Linked DNA regions of Stegostoma tigrinum. The protein of the gene in region 1 purifies or fractionates together with the protein of each later gene. This does not show direct contact. Links are inferred from orthologs where the notes say so. Each region holds a gene or a part of one and is shown in the gene's direction. Other genes may lie near its edges. The genes, in order: pidd1 and ripk1l.

Region 1 (16,510 bases):
ATCCGTAAAAACGCCAGCTTCTGTTAATGTCAGACAACAAGTAAGGCGGCAGAGTGGCTCAGTGGTTAGCACTGCAGCCTCACAGCGCCAGGGACCCGGGTTTGATTCCAGACTCAGCTAACTGTGCGGAGTTTGCACATTCTCCCTGTGTCTGCGTGGGTTTCCTCCGGGTGCTCCGGTTTCCTCCCACAGTCCAAAGGTGTGCAGGTTAGGTGGATCAGCCATGCTAAATTGCCTAGAGTGTTCAGGGGTGTGCGGATTATAGGGGGATGGGATGCTTCAAGGGGCGGTGTGGACTTGTTGGGCCGAAGGGCCTGTTTCCACACTGTAGGTAATCTAATCTAAAAAAAACAAAATCAAGACAATAGAAGGACAAGTAACTTAAGAAATAGCTTATAAAAGGTCAAGAGGTTAAAAAGATGACAGAGTTAAGGCCCTGGCAGCTGTCAAACACAGTCAATGGTGGAATGATGGAAATTGGAGTTTCACAAGCTGTTAGAATTGACAGAACACAAAAATCTTGTTCAGTGTTTGGGCTAGAGGAGGTAGCCGTTAGGGATTGTTCATGCCACAGATCTGAAAACACGAGAATTTTGAGCATTTCCAAAATGAGATGTAAAGGAGATCAAGAGGCACAGCAAGTGACTGGAGAAAATGGATTGGCCACAAGTTGAATTTGAAATGTTACCTTCACTTGAGCCTTAATCAAGTTACAGCAGGGCAAAGAGCCCCTTGGTTCAGTAATGGTGAGATTGCATCTACACTTTCACTAGTGACATTTGTTATGTTATTTTTCACCTCGGTGAAAGTTATGTGCTTACTTAGCAAACCCTCTGGCATTACCTCCACAATGATAATGAATCTACTTTGGTAAGATCCACATGTTAAACAAGGTTACTCACCAGCAGCAATGACATCATCTACATTCTTGCCTTTCAACTCACTGATGACCTGAAATTCAATTAGAATATTAACATTGTTAGAAAAGAGGAAATGCAGCCAATTTCAGCATGCATGTATTCAGAAAGGTACAATACCTTATTCAGTCGCTCATCATCAGCTTCAATGCCAACACTGTCTAAAATCTTCTTGATGTCCTTTGAAGATGGGGAGGCATTTCCACCCAATACAGCAAGGAGGTAAGCTGCGACGTAACGCATTCTAAAAAAGGAAGAATTTAGCTTCAATTATACTTGTGTATAAAAATTCTTGGAAAAAAAAAGTGTTTTGATTCCTGCCAAGAGCACAAACTCCTGATTTCTTTTTCCATTTTGGTTTCCATGGTTTAGCCTTGTTAAAACAAACTTCCATCTATTTGCTAATTCAATTTTTTCTTTTTTTATGCCCTAACTCTCCCTTAGCCAGACAGCACTCAGGCCTAACTCCGTAAACACTAGTTAACCTCGCCATACAGGAAATCATACTGGGCTCATACACATTTCCAGAAACAGGTACTGTGACAAAATTCAGCAATACACAAATAGTTAGTGAGACCTTAGGCATCATCTTTCTTCTCAGAAGAGCACATACTCAACAATTCATGACCAATGTCAGTTTTGCTGTTGGGTCCTCTATATTAAATTCAAAACCACATTAAGGCATCATGAGAGACTTGCACCCAGAACCAATGCCACAAAAATTTGCCCACAAGTCAGCCAGTGCTAAGATGTCACAAAAGCAGGATAAATCCAGACAGATGGGTTAATTTTTCACCTTTAGATATCAAAGCACTGAAGCCTGCTCAAATTGTTTCCTCCTCTCGATTTATACTTATTTACTCAGTGAGCATCAGGCAAAGTTAACCTAATTATCAAGCTACCACTACCAAAAGTAGTTAATACAGGTGAATTGGTGCACAAACCTAAGAAATCTATCAAATAACATCTTTGGGATAAAGCAGAGAATATAATCAGGGATTTGTTTTTAAATTTCATCCGACAAAACAGAGAGAAAGGGCTGTTCAGTTGAGGTGGAAGAGGCACAGGGAGGAAGATGTCAAGCGTAATTAGCCTAACAAGCATTTTCACGTTGCATACGCGGACGTGTAAAATGGTTCTCTAGCAGCGTGTTGAAAAGCGGTTGTAAGATTTGTTGTAAACTACGTTATCTGCTTCATTGCTCTCCAGCCCACAGCTCCGATTTCAAACAGGCATTCAAGTCACTAAGCAATCCATTACGTGTTGGCAGAAGTCAAACTGCTTGTCCATACCCAAGAAATTGTGGACAGAAAGCAGCAAACGTGCGGCTTTACAACTTGAGGAACATCTTGCAATAGCCTCCAACTCAATCTGAACACTTCCAAGCTGCGCTGAACGGAAGACTACTTTACATGAGTGAGCACCTACCGAGGCGAGAGAGAATAGTCTGCAAAGGGGAGGCTGCTACTGGAATGGTGCTTTTGCAGCCAACATTGCCTGGAGCCGGCCCTGTGGAACGCGGGCGCTGCCAACATTCGGAAAGCGAACGCGGCAGCGTCACAATTGAGAAGGCTCACAAGCACGTGGAGGCCGCGCGGCCTTCACTTCCGGCCGAACCCCCTTTGCCCTTCGGTGCTCGGTAGCCCTCCGTCAACGAGGCCAGGGCGGCACCGGCGGCGAGGAGAGAAAGAACACGGCTGCCGCTCGAGCCCCTGGTCCGGTAAAATAAAGGGCGGGGCGGGGGCAAAAACGGGGAAATGCGGCGAACTCACCTGGCGAGCTGGGTGAGGCGCTTGGGAGTGGAGCAGGCCTAGCCTCTGATAACTCCTCACGCACTGGGCGCCGGACTGTAAAAGAGCGAGCCTCGTCCCGACTCTCAGACATAATAAACATGCGCCGGCACGCTCCATTATCATTGGATGCGCTGAGCCAGGGGCGGGCCAATGGGGACAGCTGTGTGAATAACCCTCCATCTCATTGGTCACAAGTTCTGGTAAGCGTTGTAAGGCTGCAGTGAGGATCAGCGTCTGGAATCTGAGATAATGGGAACTGCAGATGCTGGAGAATTCCAAGATAATCAAATGTGAGGCTGGATGAACACAGCAGGCCAAGCAGCATCTCAGGAGCACAAAAGCTGACGTTTCGGGCCTAGACCCTTCATCAGAGAGGGGGATGGGGAGAGGGAACTGGAATAAATAGGGAGAGAGGGGGAGGCGGACCGAAGATGGAGAGTAAAGAAGATAGGTGGAGAGTGAAGGTGGGGAGGTAGGGAGGGGATAGGTCAGTCCAGGGAAGACGTACAGGTCAAGGAGGTGGGATGAGGTTAGTAGGTAGATGGGGGTGCGGCTTGGTGTGGGAGGAAGGGATGGGTGAGAGGAAGAACCGGTTAGGGAGGCAGAGACAGGTTGGACTGGTTTTGGGATGCAGTGGGTGGGGGGGGGGGGGGGGGGGGGGAAGAGCTGGGCTGGTTGTGTGGTGCAGTGGGGGGAGGGGACGAACTAGGCTGGTTTAGGGATGCAGTAGGGGAAGGGGAGATTTTGAAACTGGTGAAGTCCACATTGATACCATATGGCTGCAGGGTTCCCAGGCAGAATATGAGTTGCTGTTCCTGCAACCTTCGGGTGGCATCATTGTGGCAGTGCAGGAGGCCCATGATGGACATGTCATCTAGAGAATGGGAGGGGGAGTGGAAATGGTTTGCGACTGGGAGGTGCAGTTGTTTGTTGCGAACTGAGCGGAGGTGTTCTGCAAAGCGGTCTCCAAGCCTCCGCTTGGTTTCCCCAATGTAGAGGAAGCCGCACCGGGTACAATGGATGCAGTATACCACATTGGCAGATGTGCAGGTGAACCTCTGCTTAATGTGGAATGTCATCTTGGCGATAGGGGTGAGGGAGGTGGTGTGGGGACTAGTGTAGCATTTCCTGCGGTTGCAGGGGAAGTTGCCGGGTGTGGTGGGGTTGGAGGGCAGTGTGGAGTGAACAAGGGAGTCACGGAGAGAGTGGTCTCTCCGGAAAGCAGACAGGGGAGGGGATGGAAAAATGTCTTGGGTGGTGGGGTCAGATTGTAAATGGCGGAAGTGTCAGAGGATGATGCGTTGTATCCGGAGGTTGGTAGGGTGGTGTGTGAGAACGAGGGGGATCCTCTTAGGGCAGTTGTGGCGGGGGCGGGGTGTGAGGGATGTGTTGCGGGAAATACGGGAGACGCGGTCAAGGGCGTTCTCGCTCACTGTGGGGGGAAAGTTGCGGTCCTTAAAGAACTTGGACATCTGGGACGTCTTATCGTGGGAGCAGATGCGGCGGAGGCGGAGGAATTGGGAATAGGGGATGGAATTTTTGCAGGAGGGTGGGTGGGAGAAGGTGTATTCTAGGTAGCTGTGTGAGTCGGTTGGCTTGAAATGGACATCAGTTACAAGCTGGTTGCCCGAGATGGAGACTGAGAGGTCCAGGAAGGTGAGGGATTCCAGCTCCCTCTCCCCATCCCCCTCTCTGATGAAGGGTCTAGGCCCGAAACGTCAGCTTTTGTGCTCCTTAGATGCTGCTTGGCCTGCTGTGTTCATCCAGCCTCACATTTTATTAGCGTCTGGAATCTGTCATTTTAGCAATGGGACTTCAATAAGTTATTGTGAACATGTCCTTGGTGTCTCTCTGGAGGACTGAGAGCAGAAGGATACTTTTGATTTTCCTGTCTCCGTGCAAATAGAAACTTCAGAAGCCTTTCACTGCGGCTGATAGATATAAAAATATTACTACGTTGTCTATGATAGCCACACGTTCAATCTTATACGCAGATCTCTATTAAAACCAATATATCAAACGCATACTGAACGCAAAATACATGAACCTGAATATTTTAACCCGCAAGATTCCTTTTAGGATTGGTAGGAAACCGTTAAAATGTGCAACTTGGCCATTATTCTTAACTTGCTTTCATTGTTTATGACTTGCTATGAAGATTGTCTCAAGAGAAGGATTATGAGCCACAGAGTCTTTCGTCACCTCATCTCTGTGTAGAGGTTTTGCCGACAAAACCAAGTTTGCATCCTGAACAATATGCCTTCCTTATAATTAAACTGCTAACCACATTGATATCCATATTTCAGTCCGACATCTGCAGGTTTATGAAATGTAATCCATGTTATTATAATAGTGGACATTTGTAATATACAACTTACATTGTGATGCAAAGTAACAAAATTTAAATAGCCCTATAGAGTTAATTATGCCCAGAACCATCCTGTCACTATGCCATGAACGTATTTGTTTTATGAAAAGAGTTCACAGAATTACTGTGGAAACATTCCAGATTTCTCATCTGCCAGCTTTAGGAGTACAGTGCTCAAAAGTTCAAAATAATGTACATGGAAACACTAAGTTAAAACATATATATTACACTAATCAAAGTAATATCTTGGAAAATTAGAGATAATGGGAACTGCAGATGCTGGAGAATTCCAAGATAGTAAAATGTGAGGCTGGATGAACACAGCAGGCCAAGCAGCATCTCAGGAGCACAAAAGCTGACGTTTCTGGCCTAGACCCTTCATCAGAGATTAGTTCTTTTCCATCCTCCATACCCACAGCACATGATGGAGTCTTTCCTTGTGCAGGAGTCTTATGTGAGAATTGTGAACTATTCCTGGCACCACAGCTGTTAAACCAGAAATCATGTTTTCATGGGTTAATGGCAAGCCTGCCCTACACATATGCCTAGTAACTTGCTCTAACCATGATTCCACATATCGTATTGCAGAGTCCAATTGATAATAACATGCCTGTAGCTTCCCCCTGGCCAAAGCTATCATGTGCCATCCTCCACAGCTAGTAAAGCAATTCACCAGTCACTCCACAGTAGCAATGATGAACGGTTTGCTCAGGTCCTTGTTAGGTTAAGTACCATGTGACATTCACTTTAGCAGTTTATATACATAAAAGACAGAGTGACTTAACTTCAGGCTAACTGGTAATGTATGGTATTTTCAATTTCTATCCAAATTTCAAGTATCAAGCAAATTTGCATTTTAAAAACATTTTCCTGCAGATTCATGCATTAAAATCAGAAACATCAAGAATAGCTTGTTTGTAATGTCGTAGCCTGTCAGTTGGTTGACAAGTGAGAATGCTGTGAGCACTTTATTACTTAATAATATAAAGCTGAGTCATCTCAATATTTGCTCACTATTGTAACAAACTCAAATAAAACAATCAAATAAAGCTTACTTTCTTAGACTTCAATTTAAATCATGTTGACAAAAACTAAAGGCAAGTGTTCTGCCATTTCACCAGATTAGTTTCAATAGGCATTTGGCTTCTGGATTACAATACTGTAGTACTGTGGGATATCAAATTATATCAAGAGGGAGGCAATGGTCTAATGGTATTATTGCTGCACTGTAAATCCAGAGACCCGGATAACATTCTGGGGACCAAGGTTTAAAACCCGCCATCGCAGATGGTGCAATTAAAAATCTAATGATGACCATGAATCCATGTTGATTGTCAGGAAAAACCCATCTGGCTCACTAGTGTCCTTTCGGGAAGGAAACTGCCAGCCTTACCTAATCTGGCCTACATGTGACTCCAGACCAACAGCAATGTGGTTGACTCGACTGCCCTCTGGGCAATTAGGGATGGGCAATAAGTGCTGCCTAACCATCTTGTGAATGAATAAATAAAAAGCTTATTGCCACAGAAGGCAAGTAGTCTATAAATTCCAGCCACATTAAAGAAAAACTTTTTAGAGTGAATATACAATTGATGGATACGTACAATGATGGATGCAAGTTAAAAAAAAAGTGACTGGTTTCCCATTTAGATCATAACGTCTTGCAAAAAGACACGTCAAGTCTTGAATCTTAAGAGAAGACTCTTTGGAATAGAGACTAACAGTTTCTCTCTCCACAGATGCTGCCAAATATGCTGAGTTTCTCCAGCACTTTGTTTTGATTTCAAGTCTCAACTTGCATAACCAATTGCAAGTATTGCATATGACATTTGTGTTGGAGGGAATGGTGGAGATATTGCCTTTGAACTGTACTTGCTTAACTTGAACACACGAGTTCATTTTCATCTATCAAAATCACTCAATGACAGTGATTTCTCTATTTGGGTCAAATCAAAATTTGTTCTCCCCTCCAACCCACCCCCAAACACACACACACACACGCTCCTTTGCAAACTAAAGGTTGGCTTTCAGATTGTCATTACATCCAAGTGTGGAACATATGGTTTCTGTGCTCAGCTGGCTGTAAAATTGTCTCTGGAAACAAGAATAATGAAGTAAAGTTGAACTTTGAGCATGCTCTCAATGCCAGGTATATGATACTTTGCCTGAATCCCTGGCTGGAGATTTCCCTATCAACTGATGTCACCACAGATTCCAAAGATGGGACGTTTCTAATGTGATTCATGTAGGTGGTCCAAAGAGGTGCCCATGAAGCAGTGATACAAGAACCACTGGTAGACAAAGCTATACATTAGCCAGTGTTAAATTACTATACATGTGTTCAATTTCTGTCAGTTACTAGTACCTTTTGTGTAAAAAGAGCAGCCTGCAAAGGTAACAAAATGTGGAGCTGGATGAACACAGCAGGCCAAACAGCATCTCAGGAGCACAAAAGCTGACGTTTCGGGCCTAGACCCTGCATCTGCACGCCTCACACAATTATGATTCTGCTGCAAATGCCTCCCCCACTTAGAAGTTTGTTAACTTTTGATCGATAAAGTGCCATTCAGTTTAACCCACTCTTGCAGCTGTTGATCCCTAACTCTGTAGCCAGTTACAGAATCTCAAGCGCACATGCAACCTACACAGCAATTTCAGAACGATCGGGTCTAGTTCTCTTACTTGATATACATAAACATAAAAGCGACAGATTTACCAAGAACTCCAGCTCGTTCAGGCGCCATTTGCTAAGCATTTGGCGCGAGAACTCGTGGATCTAGGTTTGAAGGCTCGGTGACGTACCATCTGTTGCTCTGAGAGAGTTCAGGTGGGCAGAGGTCACAGCTCAGACAAGGAAGCGCGACACAGGGAGGGCCAGTGCAACTTTTAAGTTCAACCACCATGACCAGGGGAGTGAGCGCCGAAGCAAAGGTATTCTAGCCGCTGTGGAACGTTTGTATTATCTTAACATTCTAGCGATGGAACGCCGGAAAGTCGTAACATTCTATACTTGGAACTTGGCAACATAGTAACTCCCATTCATTGGGACACTGTCGTGAGGCGGGAAGGCATAAGCCCGCGGGCGCTTCCCAATACTCTGGTGAGACAGCACTGTAACCACATCCCGCAGTCACCCGGACACTGCTTTAACCCAGTCGGAGCCGTTTCATTTCGGAAAAAAAGACTTTGTAAGCAAATCGCCTACTCACCACTGATTCTTCTGCACGGAGTGAACTTATGTTGACGAGGTATCAGGAAAAAGCTTGTACTTTCTTGGCCACGAAACTTTCTATATAGGCCGAATGCCTTTGGTCTGTTTTCGAGAAGTTCGTGACTTTTTTTTTTAAAAGCCTATTCATTCTTAAATAACTGTCATCTTACGCTGATGTATGCGTAACTACTGCAGTGGGGTCTAAAACATTATTGACTTCCGGACATGAAAACACCGACGCTGCTTAAAGGATCGTTATCCCCTGCTTAGAGGAAAGTAAGTGGGTTTTTTGGCATTGGCGGGGAATTAAAGGAGCTGGCTCAGTGTTAACTTGCATTAACATGGCGCCTTTAATGGGGAGAATTCCTTCAGCTTCATGATAAAGCACGAGGAAAGCGAGAGAGATTAGTACGGCCAAAAGAAGCTTGGTCGATGAGATGATCTTTTGACAATGAATGCATTTTCGCTTCGTTTGTGCATTGCGACATTACAAATTGACTACATTTAATCGTGAAGTAATTAATGTAATGTAGCAAATAATTATAATTAAATAAGCAAATGTGGTAACTACATTTAAGGCGCCGGCATCAACCACTAATGAATGTTAAAAGCCAAAAGAACTGCGATATTAGTAAATCAGAAATAAATAAAAATTGCGAGGGGGAAAACTCAGCAGGTCTGGTAGCATCTGTGCTAAGAAATCAGAGTTAACGAGGGTCACTCGACGAAACGTTAACTCTAATTTCTCTCCACAAATGCAGCCAGACTTGAGCTTGTGCAGCAATTTCTATTTGTCAATTAATATTCGTTGATGTTGCTGGAGAACTTAACTTTTCCAGAGGTGTCACCTGCTTGAAACTGACCTTCCGACCAGGTATTCGTCCTGTCAGTGACCGCGTCTGTTTCCATCTCGCTAATATCACCCAACTTCGTCCCTTCCTCGATTCATCTGTTACTGAAATCCCTCATCCTCAACTTTTTTTGTTTTTTTAAAAAAAAATCCCGCTTTGGCTATTACAACATACTCCTGACTAGACTCAATAGTCTGAGTTCGGCCCAAACTGGGGATGACTGGTAGTCACTTCAGCTGAGGGTCACCACGCCCCAAACAAGGAATGGCTGTGAAGACAGCGCCTTCGTGGTAGTGATAATGGGAACTGCAGATGCTGGAGAATCCAAGATAACAAAGTGTGGAGCTGGATGAACTCAGCAGGCCAAGCAGCATCTCAGGAGCACAAAAGCTGACGTTCGGAGATGCTGCTTGGCCTGCTGTGTTCATCCAGTTCCACACTTTGTTGCCTTCGTGGTAGTCTCGGTGTGAGAATTGAACCTGTGCTCTTGGCATCCCTGCATTGCAGGCCAGTAAACCAAGCTAACTTAAACCCCTCTCTGTCTCCTCCGTGTCTTCAGTTGACTCTGATAGAAGGGCAGCCTAATGTCTTAACAGATAGTAATCTCGTACACCCATTGCACCTGCTATTAACTTAGTGTAAGCAAGTTGTATTTTTTTTAACATGCTGATCTTTGTTATGAACTCACTCTGTGACCGCTTCCCTCCCTAATGCCAAAATCTCTTCCAGCCCCACAGCCCTCCAGGATATCTGCACTCCTCTCTCTGGTTTTGGCTTCTTGATCGTCCCTGATTTTAATTGTTCCACCATTCTTCAGCTGCCAGATCCTAAGTTCTGGAATTTCCTCCTTTTAAGATGTTTCAGAAAACTTATCTCTTTCTCAAAGCTTTAGGTCATTTGCCCTAAAATCAGTTGTGTATCAATGTTTTGGCTTATGAAGAGCCTTGTTGTGCTTTGTTACAAGAAAGGCACCATGTAAACACAACAGTGTGGCACTGAAGGCACACAGCAGGCCAGGCAGCATCAGAGGATTTCAAATGATTTCTGAAGAAGGGTCCTGACCCGAAAGGTCACCTACCTTCTCCAAAGCCGCCTAGCCTGCTGTGTTCCTCCAGCTCCGTGCTGTGTTATTGCTTGACTCCAGCATGTATATATTTAATATACAAGTGTTTGTAAAGTGACAAATAAGGGCTTTGATTTTACAATTCATGGAAAAGCCAGCACCCCTGATAGTGAGATAACAAAGTGTAGAGCTGGATGAACGCAGCAGGCCAAGCAGCATCAGAGGAGCAGGAAAGTTGACGTTTCGGGCCTAGATCCAGCATCTGCAGTTCCTACTACCCCGATAGTGCAGCAGTTTCTCCACATTGCACTGATGCTTCAGCTTTTGATGATGTGCTCAAGTTCTAATGTATCCTTGACTTCCTACTTCAGGAAATGTTCCTTTTTGCTGAACCAAGCTGACAGTTGGGTCTTTTTTTGTGTTTAGTTTCCAGAGAGAAGGTCTGAAGTGGCCAAAGGATCTGCCACCACTGTTAAGGAAATGAAAGAAAATTGCATGCAAATCTTGAACTTAAGCAAGAAGTGTTTGGGCAATGATTTGAGGTTGAAGGAGATACAGAAATAGAGGATGAAACAAGTAGTATTGTTGGTCGGCTGTGTCTGTGGTAATGGTGAGTGGAACAGGCTATGTGCAGAGAATCTGTGACATTTTGAAGATTAGGTAACAATGTGGTGGTTGGGAATTTCAGCAGCTGAGTGACTGAGCTTAGTTCTCTTCCTGCACCAGTTTAACAGATGCCAGTTTCCTATCCCTACTCATCTCTTTTTACCAGGGATATTTTGTTTGTCTGCATTTAATCTCTGAGATGCAGCCTCTCCACATCTTCCTTGAAAGACTGTGTTCTATGTGCTTTTCATCTTTACGGACTGCACGTGTTATGTGTATCTGAGGCTGCAAATCTGCCTACTAGTCAGCTCTGGTTCTGTAATACAAAAATCAGTTGGTTTGCAGTAATGTCTGTTTCGTGAATTGAAATATATTTTACTATTCTAAATAAACTGACCTACGATATAATCAATGCCTGATAATCATTGGTCTATAATCATTAACATAACAGGCCAGACCCCATCCTCTGCCACCCGTCTCTGTTGGGTTAAATGTTCTTTTTCTAAATAGTTTCTCCTTCGAACAAAAACAAAGTTGCTGGAAAAACTCAGCAGGTCTGGCAGCTTCTGCGAAGGAGAAAACAGTTAACGTTTCGGGTCCGGTGATCCTTCCTCAGAAGGGTCCACAGCATCTGCTGTTCTTCTGGTTTTTAATTCCTCCTTTTGAGTACTCTTGCTTTCTCCATTAAAAACGATGCCACTTTGGAAGACCGAATGACTTGCCACTGCGTCTGCCTTTTTCTTGTGGCAATGTGAGACATTTCTTGTTCAATCCTAGTTAGGTCTCTGTCTCCCCTCTCTTTCTAATAGAGTGATTGATGATTGTATTGCTTCTGCTTCATGTTCTTCCCCAAAATGGGAAATTTCATTCTTTACTTCCAAATTTCACCTTTTTCATACTTCTGTCCATCACTAATTCTTCCCATTCTTGTGTTAATTTCAGTGGTTTGGTTGACCAATTATATGCCCACTTAGTTCAACGGTTACCTCAATTACATTTTTTCATATCCCACAGTAAGAACACAATACTGGTCTTATAATAGCCCATCTTTTGATTAGACAATGGTCATGGAGTGCAATACCTGCAGATTCTATCCATGGCTCCCAATATTTTTAGACAATAGGATCAATTCTTCTGCCATCCACAGCTTTTCTAAACCTGTCTTTTATTAACAGAGAACATCTTTCGGCAAAATAGATTTAGGTTCAAAAAAGTGTGTAATGAAATAAACTTGCAAAACATATCAACATTAGTCCATTTTTACAGTTATTCTAGGAAAAGAGAATGGTCAGAAGCAACCTTGTAAATTGATGGGGCGACATTGTAAATGAAAACATCAAATGACAGGAGTGTCAAATAATGGATATTACATGTTCATTTTCCAGATGTGCCAGAGATTACAGGTTTCTGACACCACCTCCTACTGTCCCTTGATCATGATCCCACCACCTGACCACCAAAACATCATCTCCCAAACCATCAACAACCTCATCACTTCAGGTGACCTCCCATCCACAGCCTCCAACTTCATTGTTCCCCAACCCCTCACCGCCCGCTTCTATCTCCATCCCAAAATCCACAAACCTGACTGCCATGGTTGACCCATTGCCTCTGCCTGTTCCTGCCCCGCCGAACTTACTTCGACTCCATTTTCTCCCCCTTGGTCCAGGAACTCCCCACCTACATCCATGACACCACTCTCACTCTCCACCTCCTCCAAAACTTCCGACTTCCCTGGTCCCCAACACCTAATCTTTACCATAGACGTCCAGTCCCTATATACTTGTGTTCATCATGGAGATGGCCTAAAGGCCCTCTGCTACTTCCTGTCCCACAGGCCCGACCAGTCACCCTCCACTGACACCCTCATTGGCTTAGCTGAACCCGTCTTCACCCTTAACAACTTCTCCTTCAATTCCTCCCACTTCGTACAGACAAAGGGGGTGGCCATGGGTACCCGCATGGGCCCAAGCTATGCCTGCCTCTTTGTCAGTTACGTGGTGCAATCCCTCTTCTATACTGGCCCTAAACCCCACCTCTTCCTCTGTTCCATCGATTGAATATATCGGTGCCACCTCGTGCTCCCATGAGGAGCTCAAGCGGTTCATCCACTTCACCGTCACCTTCCACCCCAACCTTAAGTTCACCTGGACCATCTCTGATACCTCTGCCTTCTTCCTGGATCTGTCTGTTTTCATCTCTGGCAACCACCTAGAAACTGATATCCATTTCAAGTCTACCGACTCCCAAGGCTACCTAGAATACACCTCCTCTCACCCAGCTTCCTGCAAAAATGCCATCCCCTATTCCCAATTCCTTTGCCTCCGCTGCATCTGTCCTGAGATGAGGCATTCCACTCCTGGATGCCCCAGATATTCTTGTTTTTCAAGGACTGCAACTTCCCCTCCACAGTGGTTGAAAATGCCCTCGACTGTTTCTCTCACATTTCTCACAACTCATCCCTCACATCCCCTCCCCGCAATAACAACTAAAACAGAATCCTCCTTGTCCTCATGTACCATCCCACCAACCTCTAGATCCAATGCATCATCTGTTGGCACTTCTGCCATCTGCAGTCTGACCTCACTATCGAAGACATTTTTCCCTCCCCACTCTTTTGTCTTCCTTCTGCAGGGACCACTCTCTCCATGACTCCCTTGTCTGCTCCACACTCCCCACCACCCCCGGCACACTTCCCTGCAACCGGAGGAAGTGCTACACCTGCCCCTGCCCCTCACCCCCATCTCAGGCCCCCAAGAAGATGTTCATTTGCACATCTGCTAATGTGGCATACTGTATCAGCTGTTCTCGATTGAGGTCTCCTCTGCATCAGGGAATTGCGAACAAGGAATCCTCAGAGGCTTGGAGACCGCTTTGCGGAACACCTACGCTTGGTTGGTGACAAACGACTGCACCTCCCAGTTGCGAGCCATTTCAAAACCCCCCCCCACCCCCAACTCCTTAGAAGACATGTCCATCCTGGGCCTCCTGCAGTGCCACAATGATGCCACCTGAAGGTTGCAAGAACAGCACCTCCTATTTCGCTTGGGAACCCTGCAGCCCAATGGTATCAATGTGGGTTTCACAAGCTTCAAAATCTCCCCTCCCCCACTGCATCCCAAAACCAGCCCAGCTCGTCCCTGCCTTCCTAACCTGTCTGTCCTTCCACCCGCCTCAAGCCCCACCTTCTATCTACCAGTCTCATTCCCCCACCTTGACCTGTCCATCCTCCCTGGACTGACCTATCCCGTCCCTAACTCCCCATCTACACTCGCCTTTACTGGCTCCACCCCCACCTCTTTGACCTGTCTGTCTCCTCTCCACCTATCTTCTCCTTTTATCCATTTTCCATCTGCCTCCCAAACTCACCCTGTTTTATTTCCGAATCCCTTTTCCCCTCCCCCATTTCTAAGAAAGGGTCCAGACCCAAAACATCAGCTTTCCTGCTCCTCTGATGCTGCTTGGCCTGCTGTGTTCATCCAGCTCTACACCTTGTTATCTCAGATTTCAGACAGCAGTTGTTTCCTTCTCCAAAGCTGCTACATAATCTGGTTGATATTTTCAGTGTTTTATGTTTCCAGCATCTTCAAGAGTTTATCTTTTGAGGAAGGGAGAATTTGTTTTGAAAACCCTTTATTACTCAACCCTTCCGTTATATCTTTGACCTATTTCAGCAGACCAACTCTCGACGTTCTCTATGCTTCTTCAGAGCTGACCTCTTGCTTCACTCTGAATTTCACCTCTTCAATGAGGCTGGATGTGTCTTAAGGTGTTTGGACCTAAGCTCAGAATTTCTGAACCAAACTGTTCCACTTCCTTTCCTTTTGTTAAAGTTTTTCTTAAAACCTATCTCTAATGCCAACCAATCCTAATATTTCCTCAAATAAAATCAGAAAGTGCTGGAAAAATTCAGCAGGTCTGGTTGCATCTATGGATAGAGAAACTGAGTTAATGTTTTGATTATCACTGATTATTGGACAAACTGGTTTTAGTTTTGGCACTCAGTTCAGCTCTGAAAATAGTGTTCAGAAAATTCAGTGCTAACGCTGTTCCTCCTTCCAAGATGTTGCCAGATTGGCTGAGTTTCTTCAGCACTTTCTGCTTTTAGTTCAGATCCCTGGCTTCTGCTTTGCTTCTAATCTCTCCATATTTGGCTTATTTCCAAGTTTTGTTCATCAGTGCCCCCATTAAATGCCTTTGCCATTTTGACCACATCAAGAGCACCATGTACAGTCAATGAAAGTCGTTGAGTGGTGAGGGATGTTGCAGAGGTAGGTACCAGTCATTGTCATTGGTCATGGATAGGAAGCAGGTTTTAAAGCTTAGCTTAGGTTTGAAGATGCCAAAGTTGTTAATGCTGTGACTACTACTGCGACAATGGAGAGGAAAATGAGGCCTATGGCATATGAATGGGGACTGGAATTGGTGGCTTTGAATTGTTATTGATTAGTCGACTTAAAATCTTGCACTGATTCGAAACTCTCTGGTTCAGTGTGACAGGATGAAGCGATGAGAAGTGAAGCAATACAACTAGCTATGATCGTATGTTTGCAAGCTGAATTGCGTACCTGCAATTTCCACTCCTCCATAACTTTCACTTTGTCCTTTTCTGACACACATCTTTCCTGCACTATCTCAGTTTCAGGGAATAAACTGTCCGCTGCCATCCACTACAAAGCCACTGACTCCTGTAGCTGCCTTCACTACAGCTTGTCACACCCCATGTCCTACAAGGATTCTATCCCATTCTCCCAGTTCCTTCACCTACATGGTATCTGTTTGATGCTACCTTCCAAAATAACGCTGTTGACATGGCTTGCTTCTTCCATGACTGGTTTCCCACCTGCCGTGGTTGACAGGGCCCTCAACCGCATCCGACCTATCACCTATGCTTCCGCCCTTGCCCCTTACCATCGCTTACAACAGTGCAAGCAGGTCCCTATCGTTCTCACATTTCATCCCACCTACCTCTGCATTCAAAGGATCCTTCTCTGCCATTTCAGACAACTCCAGCAGAATGCCACTATGAAACGCATCTTCCCTTCACTCCTCCTGTCTGCATTTTGCAGGATTGTTCCCTCCAGGGCACCCTAATCCATTCGTTGAGCACTAACCGCAGCTCTCCCTTCCTGTGGAACCATAGAAGGTGCAATACCTGCCACTCCACCTTCCTGCTTACTATCTAAGGACCTAAATAGTCTTTCCAGGTGAAGCATGTTTCATCTGTGCCTCCTCCAATCTGGTGCATGGTACTCGCTGCGCTCAACGTGGTCTACCACACATTGGAGAAACCAAACGCAGACTGGGTGACTGCGTTGCAGAACACCTCCATTCTGTGCTTAACATTACCCCAACCCCGTAGCCAGTCATTTTAACACAGCATCCTGCTCGCATGTCCACTTGTCTGTCTTTGGCATGCTGCAATGCTCCAGTGAAGTTCTCAAACTGAAGGAACAACATCTCATCTTCAGACAAGGCATTTTCTCACCTTCTGAAGATGTTGAACACCACATGAAGCCCAGATTGTGAATCTGCTGCCATTCCTTCCCTTTCTTTTAGGTTTGCTTGTTACATTCTCTGTCACCACTTCCTCGCTCCCCTTCCCCTCACCCTAACCCCAGTCGGACTGTCTGTAGTTTTCAGTCTGGCAGTTAGATACACTATAGTTCTGCCATTCTCACATTGTAATCACCTTAATATG
Region 2 (15,998 bases), on another chromosome or scaffold:
CTATTTCATACCAGAGTAGATATTTCCTAAATCAACCTGTTCATAGATTTTATTACATGCCACTGGAAGTAACGGCGGGGGGGGGGGGGGGTGGGAATTTGAACCTGGGCCTCCTGACTCAGAGGTAAGGGCACTACTGCTGCACCACAAAAAGCTTTTTCCTACATTGAAGTGACTGGCCTGAACCCCCAATTGGTCATCAAAACGGCGAACGCACGTACGCAGGTTACATCAGTTGGCTGTGATAGACACCAGGATACATGTGCACTCTTTCCCACTCTCACCCCTCCTCATCAATTTGATTCAGTTTCAGCCCATGGTTCCTGATGAGAGTTGTCGTCTCAGATCTGCACAATGGTGTTTGGTTCTCTGAAGTCAGAAGTTTGAGTTGCTCGAATGCAAAGATGGCTGCACACAGTGAAACATGGAAAGAGGAGTTCCCACTCCTGGCACTGCTGAAATACAAAGAAAGGAGCTGACTGCTGGATTGGTGTTGTATTGCTTCCTATTCCTGTACACACATCTGTCACTTCCAAATGATTGGAGCTTTCTCTTTGCACATGTATGCTCCTTACGCCACCTAGATGTGGTGTTAATACATTTCACAGTAATTTCGGATATTTTTAACTCAACACGTCACCTCTGGAGCAGGTGAAACTTAAACCAAGAGTTTCTAGCCCAGATATGGGGACATTACCTCTGTGCCACAAAGGCCCTCATAGCAATTATATACAGGTGCTTTGAATTATGATTTTATCCACACTATCAGATATTGCAATTTTTATTCCATTTAAAGAGGAAGGAATTTAAGCGTGACATAAGAATCAATTTTCTTTCTAATTTAACACATCTTTCCTCCACCAGTAAACCACAATAATCCTTTATTTGGAGAAAAGGAGTACATTTTCTACATGGAGGTTCAAATCTGGCCAGGATTGACAGCACTACAATTAAAATTGTGCATGTTATTTCCAAACACTGCCCTCTCCCAACTACCTATTTCTAGAGGTCCATTCGTTCTGGAAAAGGTGTGCAATTAAATACGGGCTATTCTAGTTAATTTCAATCATCTTCATTTCACAATTGACAGGTTTAAATAAAAATCCATTTAGGTGATGCACTCCAAGCTAACATCTCAATTCAATTCTCCTACTCCAAATACCACCATTGACAGTGACACTCACCCCTCCAGTTCAGAGTGACGTTCTTCCTCCCCCATTTCTTGCTTTACAAAGCCTTCTCTTTTGATACCCATTGTAGTCGGGAACAGTATTGTCCCTTCAACCACTGTCCTGTCACACAGGCCTTTTTTACTGTCCAGCAACTTGCCCCAGTTCACAGTGGCATTATGCTTCCACAGCAGCACTGCTCTCTCTCTTAACCCTTGCAGTGTGAAGCAGTGGACTGCCTCCTACACCCTTCCTTCATCCACAGAGACAGTCACTTTTTCTGGTTTTCCATTTACAATAGCCCTGTCTCCCTCCCAGATCTCCCAGTTTAAATAAGTACTTTATTTTTACAAACTCCTTCCAGGAATTCTCCGTCTCTAACTCCCCATAATAAAGGCACTGTTCTATCTGATAATCTCTGGTAACCTTGGTCAAAAAGGGACAACCATCACCACTCTACTCACAGTCTATGCTGTTTCGATTTTAAAATTCTCATCCTTCTCTTCAAATCCCTGCAGGACCTTGCAGTTCCATAAATTCACCTATCAGAGAGTCCAACTGGAAAGGAGCACACTGTAGAAGAGAATGCGATCTCTGGCATAAACCTCTGGATTTCAGCATTTAGCTGCACACATTGTAGCCAAATTTACCTGTAGTTTACTGCTCTTACAAGCCTCTGATTTATTATAGCATAACCCAGACCATCAATTTGTGAAGAAGGGTCTAGGCCTGAAACGTCAGCTTTCCTGCTCCTCTGATGCTGTTTGGCCTGCTGTGTTCATCCAGATCTACATCTTGTTATTCCATCAATTTGTAACTTTTGCCTGTGAAGTCTGTTTCTGGTTGAAGGCTGACAATATCAGTTTCAGTTTCATTTCCATTTCCAGTAAAGTGAAACAATGGAGACATTCTGTGAATTTGAACTCAGTCAGTTACGAACAATTAAAACCAGACCCCATGTTTTAGCCAAATAGGAGATTTAGCAGAGACCGCAAACTCACAGAGCTACTAAAGAATGCCCAGCAGTAAGAAATCCATGGAAAGAATTTAATTAGATTGAGAAGTTATAGCCTCAAATATTGACTCATCCTAGGACAGCTGTTTAACATTTGTGCAGAAGACTTGGTTATCTGCAATTGTTTTCACTTTGATTCCCAGTTCTTGACTGAAGGCTTGCAGGAATCATTCTTGTTAAAACTAAAGTTATTGCAAATAATTGAACAAGGTGATATGAAAACATACAGATTCTTACAACATCAGAATAGAAGCAAGGTTTAAAATGTGAGTGAATAAAATAGATACTTCAGAATTTTGAGAGACCTGAACAGCCATTAACACTTCGAGCTCAAATCACACTAGTGTAAATGTAATCACAAATAAATGTGCAGTAGCTATCAACAAAGGTGATCGTTGTACATTTAATTTCCGTGAAAAGCAAAACATGCTTTTGGATCCTGGGATCTTGATGTATTCCTAATTATTTAATGAAAATCAGAACTCAAACAAGTGCTCAAGTTTACTTGAGAGAGTGTACTTGTATTAAGATCTTGTGGAAGTGTTATTATAAGTAACATCGATGGTGGCAAGTTCAGTAATTAATTAATTTATGCGTAAAAACATATCTGGAAGTTCAATGATGCTCCCCGATTGATAATGGCAATCCACTAGTGTTCATTAGCTGATGTTGTCTGGGTCCAACTTTCTTCACAAGAGAAGTGAATCCTTTCCCTAGTAGCTGATAAATTCCCCGCATATGAATATTATAAATTATCTCTCTATTTTGATGTGGTCTGTAAAATAATTTGCAATAATGGGAGGAATTACTAAAGAGAAATGCATGTTATGAACTGGGGAGGCAATGGCCCAGTGGCATTGTTGCTTGACTATTTTGTTATTGCTTGACTATTAATCTAGAGACCCAAGTAATATTCTGGGACATGGGCTCGAATCCTGCCATGGTGGAAACTGAATTCAATTTCAAAAGAAATTTGGAACTAATAGTCTAATGCTAATCATGAATCCATTACTTATTGTTCAAAAAACCCAACTGGTTCACCAACACCCTTTAGGGAAGAAACTGCCCTCCTTAACTAGTCTACATGTGATTCTGACCTACAGCACTCTTGATTCACTTTTAACCACCCTCTGGGGCAACTAGGGATGAGCAATAAATGCTGGCCTAGTCAGTGATGCCCATGGGCCATAAATTAAAAGAACAGAATTAACCCATTGTATTCAAGAAGTAAGGTTGCAGTCTAAGCTGGACCTATTCTAAGTGTTATCAGGTGACGTCACAGAAACCTTGCAGAATTGAATGAGTATTTTTGGACAGTGGGTGGAAGTTACTGTTCAGACGGGCAGGTCACTTACCCACTTGATTGAGAAACATGTTTGGCATCTGAAAAATCTCCACTCAACAGGATGAATTTACAGCTGGCTGAATTTAAAATGTTGGAGAAGCCAGTGACCATTCACCACATTAAATACATGCAAACTTTTAATACTAAAACTTTGTGGCCCTGCAGGTTGAAATAACTGCACAGCAGCTGCCATCACGTCACCAAGTCAGTCACAGTACAAAGGCCCAGGCCAGCTCTCCAGCCCTTGACTGAGGAGACTCTCTGAATCTTCTGTTTATACCTGTCAGCCAGGGCTCTCTGATTGACCCAGGTTAAGAAGCCTAATCAAGGGTCTGAGTCAATGGATCCATTTGGACCTGGTTCCAATCACTACACAGATACGCATTGTCCTTTTCTTTTCAGATCTAATTTCTGTTTCATGTTACTAATTTTGACATCACTCATCACCATTGACTACTTTTAATTTATTTCTTTGTGCGATTCTGTTTCTCGAGTATTGCCAAATGAAGATACACTTGGTTAAAGCTTTACGCCTTGTAGTTATCAGGACAATTTACAAGAATTGCCAGTCCAAAGAAAACAGCGCTGAGAGGAGAGTTCTGATTGTTTGCCAAGTGGAATCTGATTGGTAGAAGCAATGCCATGGATAACACAGCAGTTAAATGATGACTGACAGCTAATTGCCATGTTTTGCTTAATTTGTTTTTAAAAAGTAGCTTCACTCTGGTCAAGGAACAGCCATGAGTAATAAACCAGAGAAAAGTTGTCACTTATTTTTTTATTTTGCACATGTTCTATTTGCAAAGAACTGGGCCCCGTGATTTAGTTTATGTTGCTTTTAGCACCGTTCTGCGAGCCTGACTGACAATCCTAAGTAGGTTGATAGCATAATTATTCACACATTCAGGATCAGGTAGCAAATGCTGTCCGATTGCAGAATCACTTTTAATATCAGGCTCTGTGTTCTGAGCTTTGCAAGTATGGCCCAGTTCCCAGGAAGGGTCACTGGACTCAAAACGTTAACTCTGATTTCTCTTCACAGATGCTGCCAGACTTGCTGAGCTTTTCCAGAAATTTCTGTTTTTGTTTTTGGTCTCACAGGACGCAGACAGTACCCTGATTGTTGAGAACTTCCACAGGGAACATGTCACTATCAATTGTGCAATTGCAAAATGATGAACCAGTGCTCTGATTTGGACAGTACAAATCTCAGATAGAGTTGGCTGTTCAGGAATTCCTGTACATAGTGTTTGAGAATGATCCTGTTTCACATTAAACACTGATTTTTACCCAACTCCATAAACCTTCACCAATCAAATATATCTTGATCACTCATTTGACCACTGCCTTCTGCATATGTAACCATTTCTGGTCCACTTTTCCCCTGTTGTCTACTATTAACCCTAATGGTAGTCAGGATGTGGGTAAGAAAATAAATCAGGAGATAGAAAAGACATGTAAAAAAGGCACTATTAGACTAATTAAGAAGGACTTCAATATGCAGGTGGGGTAAATTTGAAGGGCTGAATGGCCTCCCCCTGTGCCTATTTTCCATGTCTTTATCCCCAGAACTACAGCTTGTGCCAAACTTGTGTTTGCCGTGTTAGCTGCTGGCATATGGAGCAGGTGTAGCCTAGACAGAGCAAGATGTCATCCAGTGACATGACCATCCCCTTGACCGTTCACAGTTGACAACCGCAACCAGCTGCCTGGCTTTCAGCCTGCATTGAAAGGCAAGACAGGACAGATGTACTGTGAGCCCTGTGGGTCCTGAATGAGGCAGCAATGTGAAAATTGGCAAGGCTAGCCAGAGATGCTGTGACCATACAATTAGGCAAGAGAACGGACATGAATAAAGCAAGCTAAGAACCCTGAGCTGCACCCTGTCCTGATGCAGGAGATGGGTGCCAGTCCCTGTGGACAAAGTGGCCTGGCAGCAGCATCACATTGTAAGGTGTCAGTTAGATCCAAAGTGCCGTAGTGAAGTGTAGAACTGTATTCCAAGTGATTCGGAGATATGGCACAATGATATGGAGAGACTGATGCTTGGCCAATGCCAGTCTCCGTGGATTTGGGATGCATGCAGTCCCTTCTAGTGGGGCATGTCCCGCAAAGCTGGAGAATTCTTATCAGGATTCAGGCCTTGAGAAGACAACAGTAAGCTGCCGCCAGGAGGTACCCATTCTGAATTATGTCAGGATTGTCACCATCCGGTTTCTCTCTGCTGCCTTGGTAAAATGACAAACTGCATGACAAAAAGATTAGGCAAAAAGAGAGAGACATTTAATGCCTGCAACTAGGCTCCTCACATTGCACGAGTGAGCCTCTCACCTAACCAGTGAGACCTAATGCACAAACTCTGAACTCTTCTTAAGTTTGAGAATCTCATGTTTCCATTCTCGCCACATTTTTCTAACTGAGTTGCCATTGTCCACATCATTCAGGGACTGGGAAAATTCTACCCCACAGTTAAATGACCTCTCGTGTTGTAATGAATATATCCTCAATAATAGGAGAGCTCAGCACATCAGTGCAAGAGACAAGGCTGAAGTATTTGCAACAGCCTTTAGACAGAAGTGCCAAGTGGACAATCTATCTCAGCCTTCTCCAGTGGTCTCCAGCATCACAGACGCCAGCCGTCAGCCCATTCAATTCATCCCACGTGATATCAACAAACAAGTGGCAGCAGTGGATACGGCAGGGCCCTGACAACGTTATAGTAATAGTACTGAAGACTTGTGCTCCAGAACTTGCCATAAGATGCTGCTTGGCCTGCTGTGTTCATCCAGCTCCACACTTTCATTATCTTGGATTCTCCAGCATCTGCACTTCCTATTATCTCTGATATCACTGAAAAAGCTGTCCAATACAGCCACAATACTGCCACCTACCAGACAATGTGGAAAATTACACAGGTATGTCCTGTACACAAAAGGCAGGACAAATTCAAACCAGCCAGTTACCGTCCCCTAGGTTTACTCATGATCACCAAAAAAAATGATGGAAGGTGCCATCAACAGTGTTATCAAGCAGCACCTGCTCAACGATGCCCACTTTGGATTCATCCAAAGCTACTCAGCTCCTGACCTCATTACAGCTTGAGTGAAAACATGGGCAAAACAGCTAAACCTCAGCTGTGATGAGAGTGACTGCCCTTGACATTAGGGCAACAATTGATTGAATGCAGCATCAAGGAGCCCTAACAAAACTGGAGTCAGTGGGAATCAGAGGGAAACACTCTGCTGGTTGGAGTCATAATTGACACAAAAGAAGAGGCTATGGTGGTTGAAACTCAGTCATCTCAGCTCCAGGAGCTCCTCAGGATAGTGTCCTTCATCCAACTATCTTCAGCTCCTTCATCAATGACCTTTCCTCCATCATAAAGTCAGAAATAGGGATGTTTGCTATGATCGTGCAATGTTCAGCACCAGTCATGACTCCTCAGATACTGAAGCAGTACATGTCCAAATGCATAATGACATGAACAATATCCAGGCTAAGGCTGAAAAGTGGCAAGTAACATTTGCACCATAAAAATGCCAGGCAATGACCATTTTCCACAATACAGAATCTAACCATCGTCTTTGACAGTCACTGACACGAACATCACTGAATCCCTCACTATCATCATCCTGGGGCTTACCAGAAACTGAACAGGACTAACCATATAAAGTGTGGAGTTGGATGAACACAGCAGGCCAAGCAGCATGATGGAATGGAGTTGGGGTAAGGGATACTTATTGCCATCAGGAACTGTACCTTTGATTCACAGAATTAGAGCATAGGTGACTATTCTTACCAGTCTGTCTGCAGCAGCTGTCTGAATGAACGACTCACTCAGTACCTATATCCCACCTTCTCCCTGGAACCCTGCACACTCATCCTTTTCAGTTAGCTGTCTAATTCCCTGTTGAATGCCTCAACTGAACTTGCATGCAGCACACCCAGACACAGATGTTCCAGAACCTGATCACTCATTCTGTGGAAAAGCATATGGAGCTTTTATTTCTTTCACCAATCACTTTAAATCCCCGCCCTCTCATTTCTGATTCTCTCGCTAGTGGGAATGGTTTCTCCCTCTATTCTGTCCAGACTACTCCTGATCACGGGTAGATTTCCACACCTTGCAATGTTCACTGGAAACCACGTACTGTCCAGGGAGGTTTCAGAAACTAACGGAGTTGGTTCCTCTGCTGCTGACTGTCCTCCATCCCCTAAAGTTGCTTCAGACCCCATGAGGAACCTCAGGGTCACAAACTCCTTTACAGGATACCAATGTGCTGGCTGCAACGCTTTTAACTACAAGGCAGGTCTCAGCGATGGTGTAGCTAGACCTCAATCAGCACTGGGAAGCTATCAGAAGTTTAAGAGTTTTTAAACAACATGGTGCAATTAAGGACAGTGGGCGGGTAAACATCGTCACCGCTCAACTTGAACTATATCGATAACAGGATAATAAAATGTGAGGCTGGATAAACACAGCAGGCCCAGCAGCATCTCAGGAGCACAAAAGCTGACGTTTCGGGCCTAGACCCTTCATCAGAGAGGGGGATGGAGTGAGGATTCTGGGATAAATAGGGAGAGAGGGGGAGGTGGACCGAAGATGGAGAGAAAAGAAGATAGGTGGAGAGGAGAGTATAGGTGGGGAGGTAGGGAGGGGGTAGGTCAGTCCAGGGAAGACGGACAGGTCAAGGAGGTGGGATGAGGTTAGTAGGTAGGAGATGGAGGTGCAGCTTGGGGTGGGAGGAAGGAATGGGTGAGAGGAAGAACAGGTTAGGGAGGCAGAGACAGGTTGGACTGGTTTTGGGATGCAGTGGGTGGAGGGGAAGAGCTGGGCTGGTTGTGTGGTGCAGTGGGGGGAAGGGGACGAATTGGGCTGGTTTTGGGCCACCCGAAGGTTGCAGGAACAGCAACTCATATTCCACTTGGGACCCCTGCAGCCCAATGGTATCAATGTGGACTTCACCAGCTTCAAAATCTCCCCTTCCCCCACTGCATCCCAAAACTAGCCCAGTTCTCTCCATCTTCGGTCCGCCTCCCCCTCTCTCCCTATGTATTCCAGAACCCTCTCCCCATCCCCCTCTCTGATGAAGGGTCTAGGCCCGAAACGTCAGCTTTTGTGCTCCTGAGATGCTGCTGGGCCTGCTGTGTTCATCCAGCTCCACACTTTGTTATCTTGGATTCTCCAGCATCTGCAGTTCCCATTATCACGATATCGATAACATCTGCTTTTACTGGAACTTAAAGGGGGTAAGCATTTCCTGACCAAATGAAAGCTGCAAATGTGTTTCCATGCACTGAAGTCATCTACAGAACTTGCAGACAACCGAGCTAACATGAAATGCACATGCATAGCTTTCTGGTCTTAATGGAACAAAATGTCAAAAAAAATTGAGATACACAGACTCACACGACTTTATAACAACTGCTCGACATTAAGACACGAGGTGCTGCAGCTGATCTTGTTACAGGGTATTTCCCAAATAGGCGGCGCTCGAAGGCTGTTTTGCAACACGGAAGAGGATGTAGGCAGGAAAGAACAACGCGGAAAGAGCAATGTAGCTGATCTCCCTAGGACAGGCCGGGCAGGTAAGGACACCAGGAAGAAGGTGAACAGACTGAGAGCCTATTCCCTACATCCCCCAGGGAGAGGGTTCAGGAGGCTCGAAGCTTTCACTCCGCCCGGGCTGTAAGAGTGATACCGAGAACTGCAGAGATTTCCCTGTAGAAACCCCCTCCCTCACTGTGCCCGCGGCTATTCGGCCCTTCCTGCCGACTCTAGCACTTGGAAAGGTGGCGCCGACGTTCTCTTTCCGCTGAATGTAATGGCGACTTACTGGGCAAGGGACAGTTCGGGCTCCGCGGCCAGTTTCTGTTCTACAGTTCGTGAGATGTTGGGAATCACGACCCTTCCACGCGCACCCCCCCTCCCCCAGCCAAGAACACAACCCCTCTTCCCCAAAAACACTGCTTTTCGCCCAACACAATTCGCTACCCCCTCCAACTCCTTCCTTTCCTCTGCAAACCACAATCTCTCCATTTACCAATCAACTTCTCCCCCTCCTGCCCAAGCACAACTCTTACAACCACCCCTTCCGATTTCCCAAACACAACTTCTTTCCATCCACTCCCCATCAATTCTGTCGACTGAAATCAAACTACGAAGAGACTGGAGATGCGCTGTTTTAACCACCCTCTTGTAGCCCTCTAACTGTGTGAGTTGTTTGTTCACTGACAGTGCGAACAGGTTTTACTTTGATTTGAACCATCTCAGTATTGGCCTAACCTGATCCACTTGCTTCCTCTGAACTTTCAGCAGAGTCAAGTTATGTGATGTTGACTTGTTGTGTAAATGAATATGTTCAAATGTTCTAACTTCAAAATAAAATCGGTAGATTTAGTGTCAGACTTATCATGTGGGCAGAATACTGTGTGCAGTCTCTGCTTGAAGCAGTTAGAGAAGTTGACTGGGTAGATTTCTGGTTTGAAACAAAGAATCATAGAAACAAGGAGTAATAGTAGGCCATTCAGCCCTTTGAACCTTCTGTGCCATTCAGTATGACCACGGCTAATCCTTTATCTCAATGCTATATTCTCACTTTCTCCTCTCGTTTTCGTTAGAGAGAAGGAGGTTAAGAGGTGACTTAATAGAGACATACAAGACGATCAGAGGATTAGATAGGGTGGACAGTGAGAGCCTTTTTCCTTGGATGAGATGGCTAGCACGGGGAGACATAGCTTTAAATTGAGGGTGACAGATATAGGACAGATGTCAGAGGTAGATTCTTTACTCAGAGTGTAGTAAGGGCGTGGAATGCCCTGCCTGCAACAGTAGTAGACTTGCCAGCTTTAAGGCATTTAAATGGTCGTTGGATAAACGTACAGATAATAATGGAATACTGTAGGTTAGATAGGCTTCAGTTTGGTTCCACAGGCCGGCACAACATCGAGGGCCGAAGGGCCCATACTGCGCTGTAATGTTCTATGTTCTCCCTTTAGGTGCCTTTAAAATCGCAATGGAATCCGCCATAGTCTCAGATATACTCAGTCAGTTGGCCGACATAGCTTTCTGCTGGAGGGAGTTCCACGGGTTTTGAGTGAGGAAAGTTTTTCTCACCTCAGGCCTAAATAGCCTATCTTTTATCCTGGGACTCTGTCCACTGGTTCTAGATTCCCCAACTAGGGAAAACCTTCTGCGTGCATCTAACCTGTCCAAGGGAATGAAGGTTGGGCTGCTTTGACCTATATTTATTGGAATCTGAGGTAAATTAAATGCTGAGAGGTCACTTCCTATTTGCATAGAATCTAGAATCAGGAGACACAGTTAAATGATAGGGCTGTCCAGTTATGATGGAGGTTAGGTTAAATTTCTCCTGCTGAAGGTATTTAATGTCAGAAATTCTCTTCCAGAAAGCTTTGGAGGCTGAGACATTGAATAGACTAGCGCCTGGAATTAGAGAGATTTTTCATTGACCAAAGTGTTGGGAGCAGTCAATAAAGTGAAGGCTACAATTGCATCAGTCATGGTCTAATTGAATGGCAGAACAGGCTTCTTGGTAAGTGGCCTACTCCTGATTTCTTATCATGTTAGAAGATCGTGACTTGACGCTTCATTCCAGAAACCTAAGCACATGGTCTAGCTTGATCTTCCAGCGAAAGTACTAAAGCAATGTTAAACTGTCCAAATTGCTTCCTTTTGGGGCAGTGTCAGGCCATAGATGAAAGTGTTTTCTACAGTGTGGCATCAAAGAGACCGAGCAAAACTAGGTTTGGTGGAATTAGACAGAGCATTTTCTACTGGTTGGTATGATACTTTGCAGAGAAGAAGATGGTTGTGATTGTTGGAAGTCAATCATTTCAACTCCAGCATATCTCCACAGGAACCCCTCAGAGTAGTGTTTTCGATCCAGCTTGCTTCATCAATAATCTTTCTCCATCGTAAGCTCAGAAGTGGGAATATTTGCTGATGATAGTGCTGAACATTGCACTGTTCGCGATGCCTCAGGCGCTGAAGCAGTCCATGTTCAAATGCAGTAAGACTTGAACAATAGCCAGGCTTGAGCTGACAAGAGGATAGAAACTTTCGTGCCATTCAAATGCTAGGCAATGACCATCACCAATAAGAAAGAACTTAATGTTGCTGTTTTATATTGAATGGCATTATCATCACTGAATCCCATAATATCAACATTCTGGGGGTTAAAATTGTTCAGAATTTAGACTGGACTAACCATATAAATACTATGGCAACAACAGCAGGTCAGAGGCTAGGATTCCTGTGAGCAATTCAGCACCTAATACTTGAAAGCCTCTCCACCATCTATGAAGGACAAGGTAGGAGTGTGATGGGAGTTCCAGCAGTACTCCAGAAGTTTGGTATAATCCAGGACAAAGCAGCCCAGTTGATTGACACCACATCCACAAATAGTCACTCCCTCCACTACTGACCTTTGGAAGCAGTTTGGAGCATTTATAAGCAATACTGCAGAAATTCACTAAGGCTCCTGAGAAAGACCTTCCAAACCCAGGACCACTAGAAGGACAAGGAACGCCAGCACCTATGAGTTCCCCACCAAACTGCTCATCATCCCAGCTGGAATATATTACCTTTTCTTCAGTGTCACTGGGTCATACTCCTGGAACTGCCTCCCTAACGGCATTGTTAGGTACAGCACGTGGACTGAAGCTGTCTAAAAAGGCAGCTCACCACCACCTTTTCCAGGATAACCCAGAATGGGCAATAAATGCTGGCCCAGCCAATGATACCCACATCCCATGAATGAATTAAGAAGAAAACGATGAGAGGCTCGGAACCAGGGATGAGCAGAGTGGGAATTATGCTGTGACTGTGCAAATTGATGCTTAAAATGCATCACAGAATCACTGACGTGTCACTGCATAGGAGGAGGCCAATCAGCCCATTGTATCTCACTGACTCCCCAAATGAGCTTTTCACTTCGCGCCATCGTTCTGCTTTCTGCCACATACACTTGCACTTTGTTTCTATTCAAATGCCTCGATTGAACCTGCCTGCACCACACTGCCAGGCAGTGAATTCCAGACCCAAACCAAATGTGATGTGAAACTGTACTTTTCTCATATCCTCTTTTGTTACTTTTGCAAATCACTTTAAATGTGGCCTATCCAATCGCCCAGTAGCTCTTTAAAGCATGCTTGTTAGTAAAAAACAGGGCAAAGACTCATCTTCGTGCTGCTCCCATTGTTACATTTCTGTGAAATATCTGTTTGGTTTGTGGGTGGGCACTGCTACAGGAGCTGTTAGCTGCAGAGACCAGGGTGACGGTGCCTGCGCCTGCATTCACTCTGGGCACTAGTCCATTGGGGGGGGGGGAAACCACTAGCCAGTGAGAGTATGCAGTGCAGATTGTCAGAAATCACATCCTGCAAAGATGTTCTATAGCTGAGATGACTCCTTTCCAACAATCATAACCATATTCCTTTATGCCAAGTATGATACCAACCCCCCCAGTAGAAAATTCTCCCTCCAGTTCCACCAAGTCTGGTTTTGCTTGGGCTCCTTGATGCCACATGGTAGGTAACACTCTGATCTAACATTCTTAAGCCTTAAAAGGATTAATTAGGATTGCATTAGAAGGACAATTTGCATAGGGGCATGGCTTACATTCACTTGAGTATAGAAGATGCAGCTCTAATTGTTTAAAATGGTTTGATAAAGTGGAGTAAAATTATTTTCTCTGCTGGGGCAAGTCAACAACAACAGGTATAACCTTAAAATCTGAGCCAGGACCATTCAGAAGGTGACACCAGGAAGGATTTCTTTACTCTCCAAGGGGAGTCGAAATCCGAATCTCTCTCTGATTTTAGGGGAACCTAGGGTTGGCGTAAATCAGCAAAGTCAGGGTGAGTGACATCCGAGCAGCAGAATCTCTGATAAGCCGGGCCTGAAAAGCTGATCCAGAGGGTGGCAATGAACTGAGGGTTATACAAGCAAGAACTTCAGATGGAAGGGAGGGTTTCCAGTCCACATCCTGATAAATCCTCTCCAGCGAAATCACTTGCCTCCTGTAATGTGGATTCCGGAGCTATATGTAATAGGCTACGTACAGTGCACATTTGGGTCAGGCAGTGAGGTGATGTGATAGACACTAAGGATCCAGGGGAACAAGAGCAGTCATCCAAGGTGAAGGTTGAGGAAGAGGAAGCCCTCCTTATGGATGGCAAGGCTCACTGCATTGGGCCCTACAAGGCAGAGAGGACCTGATTGACAGCTGGTTCCAGTGGATCCAAAATGGCTACAGACAATGATCATGGGTTGTTGAGGTCAAGAAACAAGCATTTTGTTCATTTAGTGAGGATGAACTGCCGCCACTATTCATTTGTGCTCGCTTTCGCTGGCTGTCAATTAAAGCTCATGTTTTGTCCAAACATTACCTAGCTGTGGTTTCTTTCCTTGCAGCATAATGATGAAATGTGGGTGATTACTGGGCTTAGGGAAAAGCACATCGGGTGGTGATGGGGGGAGGGTGGCCTACATGCGGGATATACCTATGAACAGGTAAACTGCATGGCCTGTTGTTCAGATGGCAACTAAAGTGAGAGAATGGGATTGTACGGGTAAGAGAGCATCAGCCATGTTGGCTGTGTCATGGGTGATCTGACCTTGTGGTTACTGTACCCTGATGTTGCTAGTGAGAGGCAATGACGGGTTGCCGGCAGGTATGCAGAGGCTTTATAAAGATGGTGCGAGGGACGCTGGTCTTTTGGCAAATATCTGCTGAACGGGAAGTTGTTCTGACTACGGTAAGATGGGACTAGAATTGGCTGTCAGGATGCTGCAGGGGGGTGAGGGGGAGGGGTTGGTGGTAAATAGATAATGAGGTGTGTTCCGTGAGACATCTCACTAGGCCTCATTGTAGCAACCCCTCCAAAAGATCTGGTAGAACTTGCAAAAAATGAGAATATGAGTTTCATCCCTTTTATTTCTATTTCTCCACAGTTGCAACTTGTTCTTCTGATTGTCTATTTCCAGAACCTTCTGTACAGGGGATCCCTAATTTATGAACGTCTGACTTAGACTTGGACTTACAATTACGATCCCATTGTAAGGGTGTAATTTTAAAGACCTGATATATAAACTGCTCCTTTATATTGTCCTGCATCACGTTTGGACTTGCGTACAAAGCAACTTGTGAATGAACTCCAGAACGGAATCCATTGGCAAACCATGGACTGCCTGGACTTTGCTTTGAGGAAAAGAGGAAATTTTTCTTCAGAGAAGGAAATGACAGTTACCAAATAATTTTGTTTTAATCAACCAATAGATTAACAACAACATAGTTATTTAGTGTCTTCAATGTGATCAAATGTATCAAGGCACCTCTTGAAGTAAGCTTTAGCGATCTCACAACTTTTAGAAAGCACTTGGGTGAGCATTTGTAATGTTATAACATTCGAGGCAAGGGCCAGTGCTGGGAAGTGCAGATTTAGAGTGGTTTTTGTTAGTACAGACTCGATGGGCTGAAGGGCCTCCCCTATACTGTATGATTCTATGACTTAAAGTGTGACCCAAACCGTATAAGCGCATGACAAAAAGTTTAGGCGGAGAGAGAAGAGTCTTAAAGGATGAAAGTGAGGTCAAGAGAGATGGAGTGTTTGTGGAGAGTGTTCCAGACTTTGAGCCTGGCAATTGAAGGCATGGCCACCAGTGGTGAAGTGATTAAAACTACACAAAAGACCAGAAATAGAAGGGAGCACTTAGAATCATAACATTCCTACAGTGTGGAAAGAGGCCATTTGGCTCATTGAGTCTGCACTGTCCCTTCGAAGTACATCCCACTTCCCTGCCCTATCCCTGTAACCCTTTATTTCCAATGGCTAATCCACCTAACCTGTACATCTTTGGACTGTCAGAGGAAGCCCATGCAAACACAAGGAGAATGTGCAAACTCCACAGAGACAGCCATCCGAGGCTGGAAGTGGACCTGGGTCCCTGGCACTGTGGGGCAGCAAATCTAACCACTGAGCCATTGTGCCACTATTTCACCCCCTCCCCCCACCCCAACCTTAGCTCAGAGGTTTGTAAGGCTGGAAGAGATGACAACGATGAGGAGGGAAGAAGCCAGGGAGGGGCAAGACAAGGATGAGAATTTTAAAATTAAGACATCCCTTGACCAGGAGCCAAAGTAAATCACGCGTGGTCAGCTAACAGGACTTGGTGTGAGTAAAGATATGGCAGCAAATGTGATGACCTCAAGTGGCAGAGGGATTGGGTGGGAGACCAGCCAGGTGGGCAATGGAATACCCTGTTTAGAGTAACAAAGGCAGGATTGACATTCTCAGAAGCAGATGAGTTGAGATCAGAATAAAATTGAAAAATATTACAGGGGTGGAAACAGTGTTAGTGATAGCACCAAAATCAGGGTCTGAAAGCCATCTCTGGATCAACCAATATTGCAAACAGATGAATTTAGTTTCAGGCTGTTGCCAG

The links.
Region 2: the proteins of pidd1 (region 1) and ripk1l purify together in Homo sapiens (affinity purification with western blotting; 3 studies listed by BioGRID and IntAct, with this or other methods). This does not show direct contact. The link is inferred for Stegostoma tigrinum from reciprocal best matches to the Homo sapiens genes PIDD1 and RIPK1.

What each region holds. Positions count from the first base shown.
Region 1 is NC_081370.1:5,303,830-5,320,339, forward strand, and holds the start of pidd1 (p53-induced death domain-containing protein 1), read left to right. Parts: upstream 1-7,945; 5' UTR 7,946-8,009; intron 8,010-8,133; exon of another isoform or gene 8,134-9,163; intron 9,164-9,560; exon of another isoform or gene 9,561-10,813; intron 10,814-16,510. Other genes in the region: large ribosomal subunit protein P2-like, read right to left, coding at 903-951, 1,038-1,160. UniProt on the Homo sapiens protein: Component of the DNA damage/stress response pathway that functions downstream of p53/TP53 and can either promote cell survival or apoptosis.
Region 2 is NC_081355.1:12,788,628-12,804,625, reverse strand, and holds the start of ripk1l (receptor-interacting serine/threonine-protein kinase 1), read left to right. Parts: upstream 1-9,021; 5' UTR 9,022-9,118; intron 9,119-15,998. UniProt on the Homo sapiens protein: Serine-threonine kinase which is a key regulator of TNF-mediated apoptosis, necroptosis and inflammatory pathways.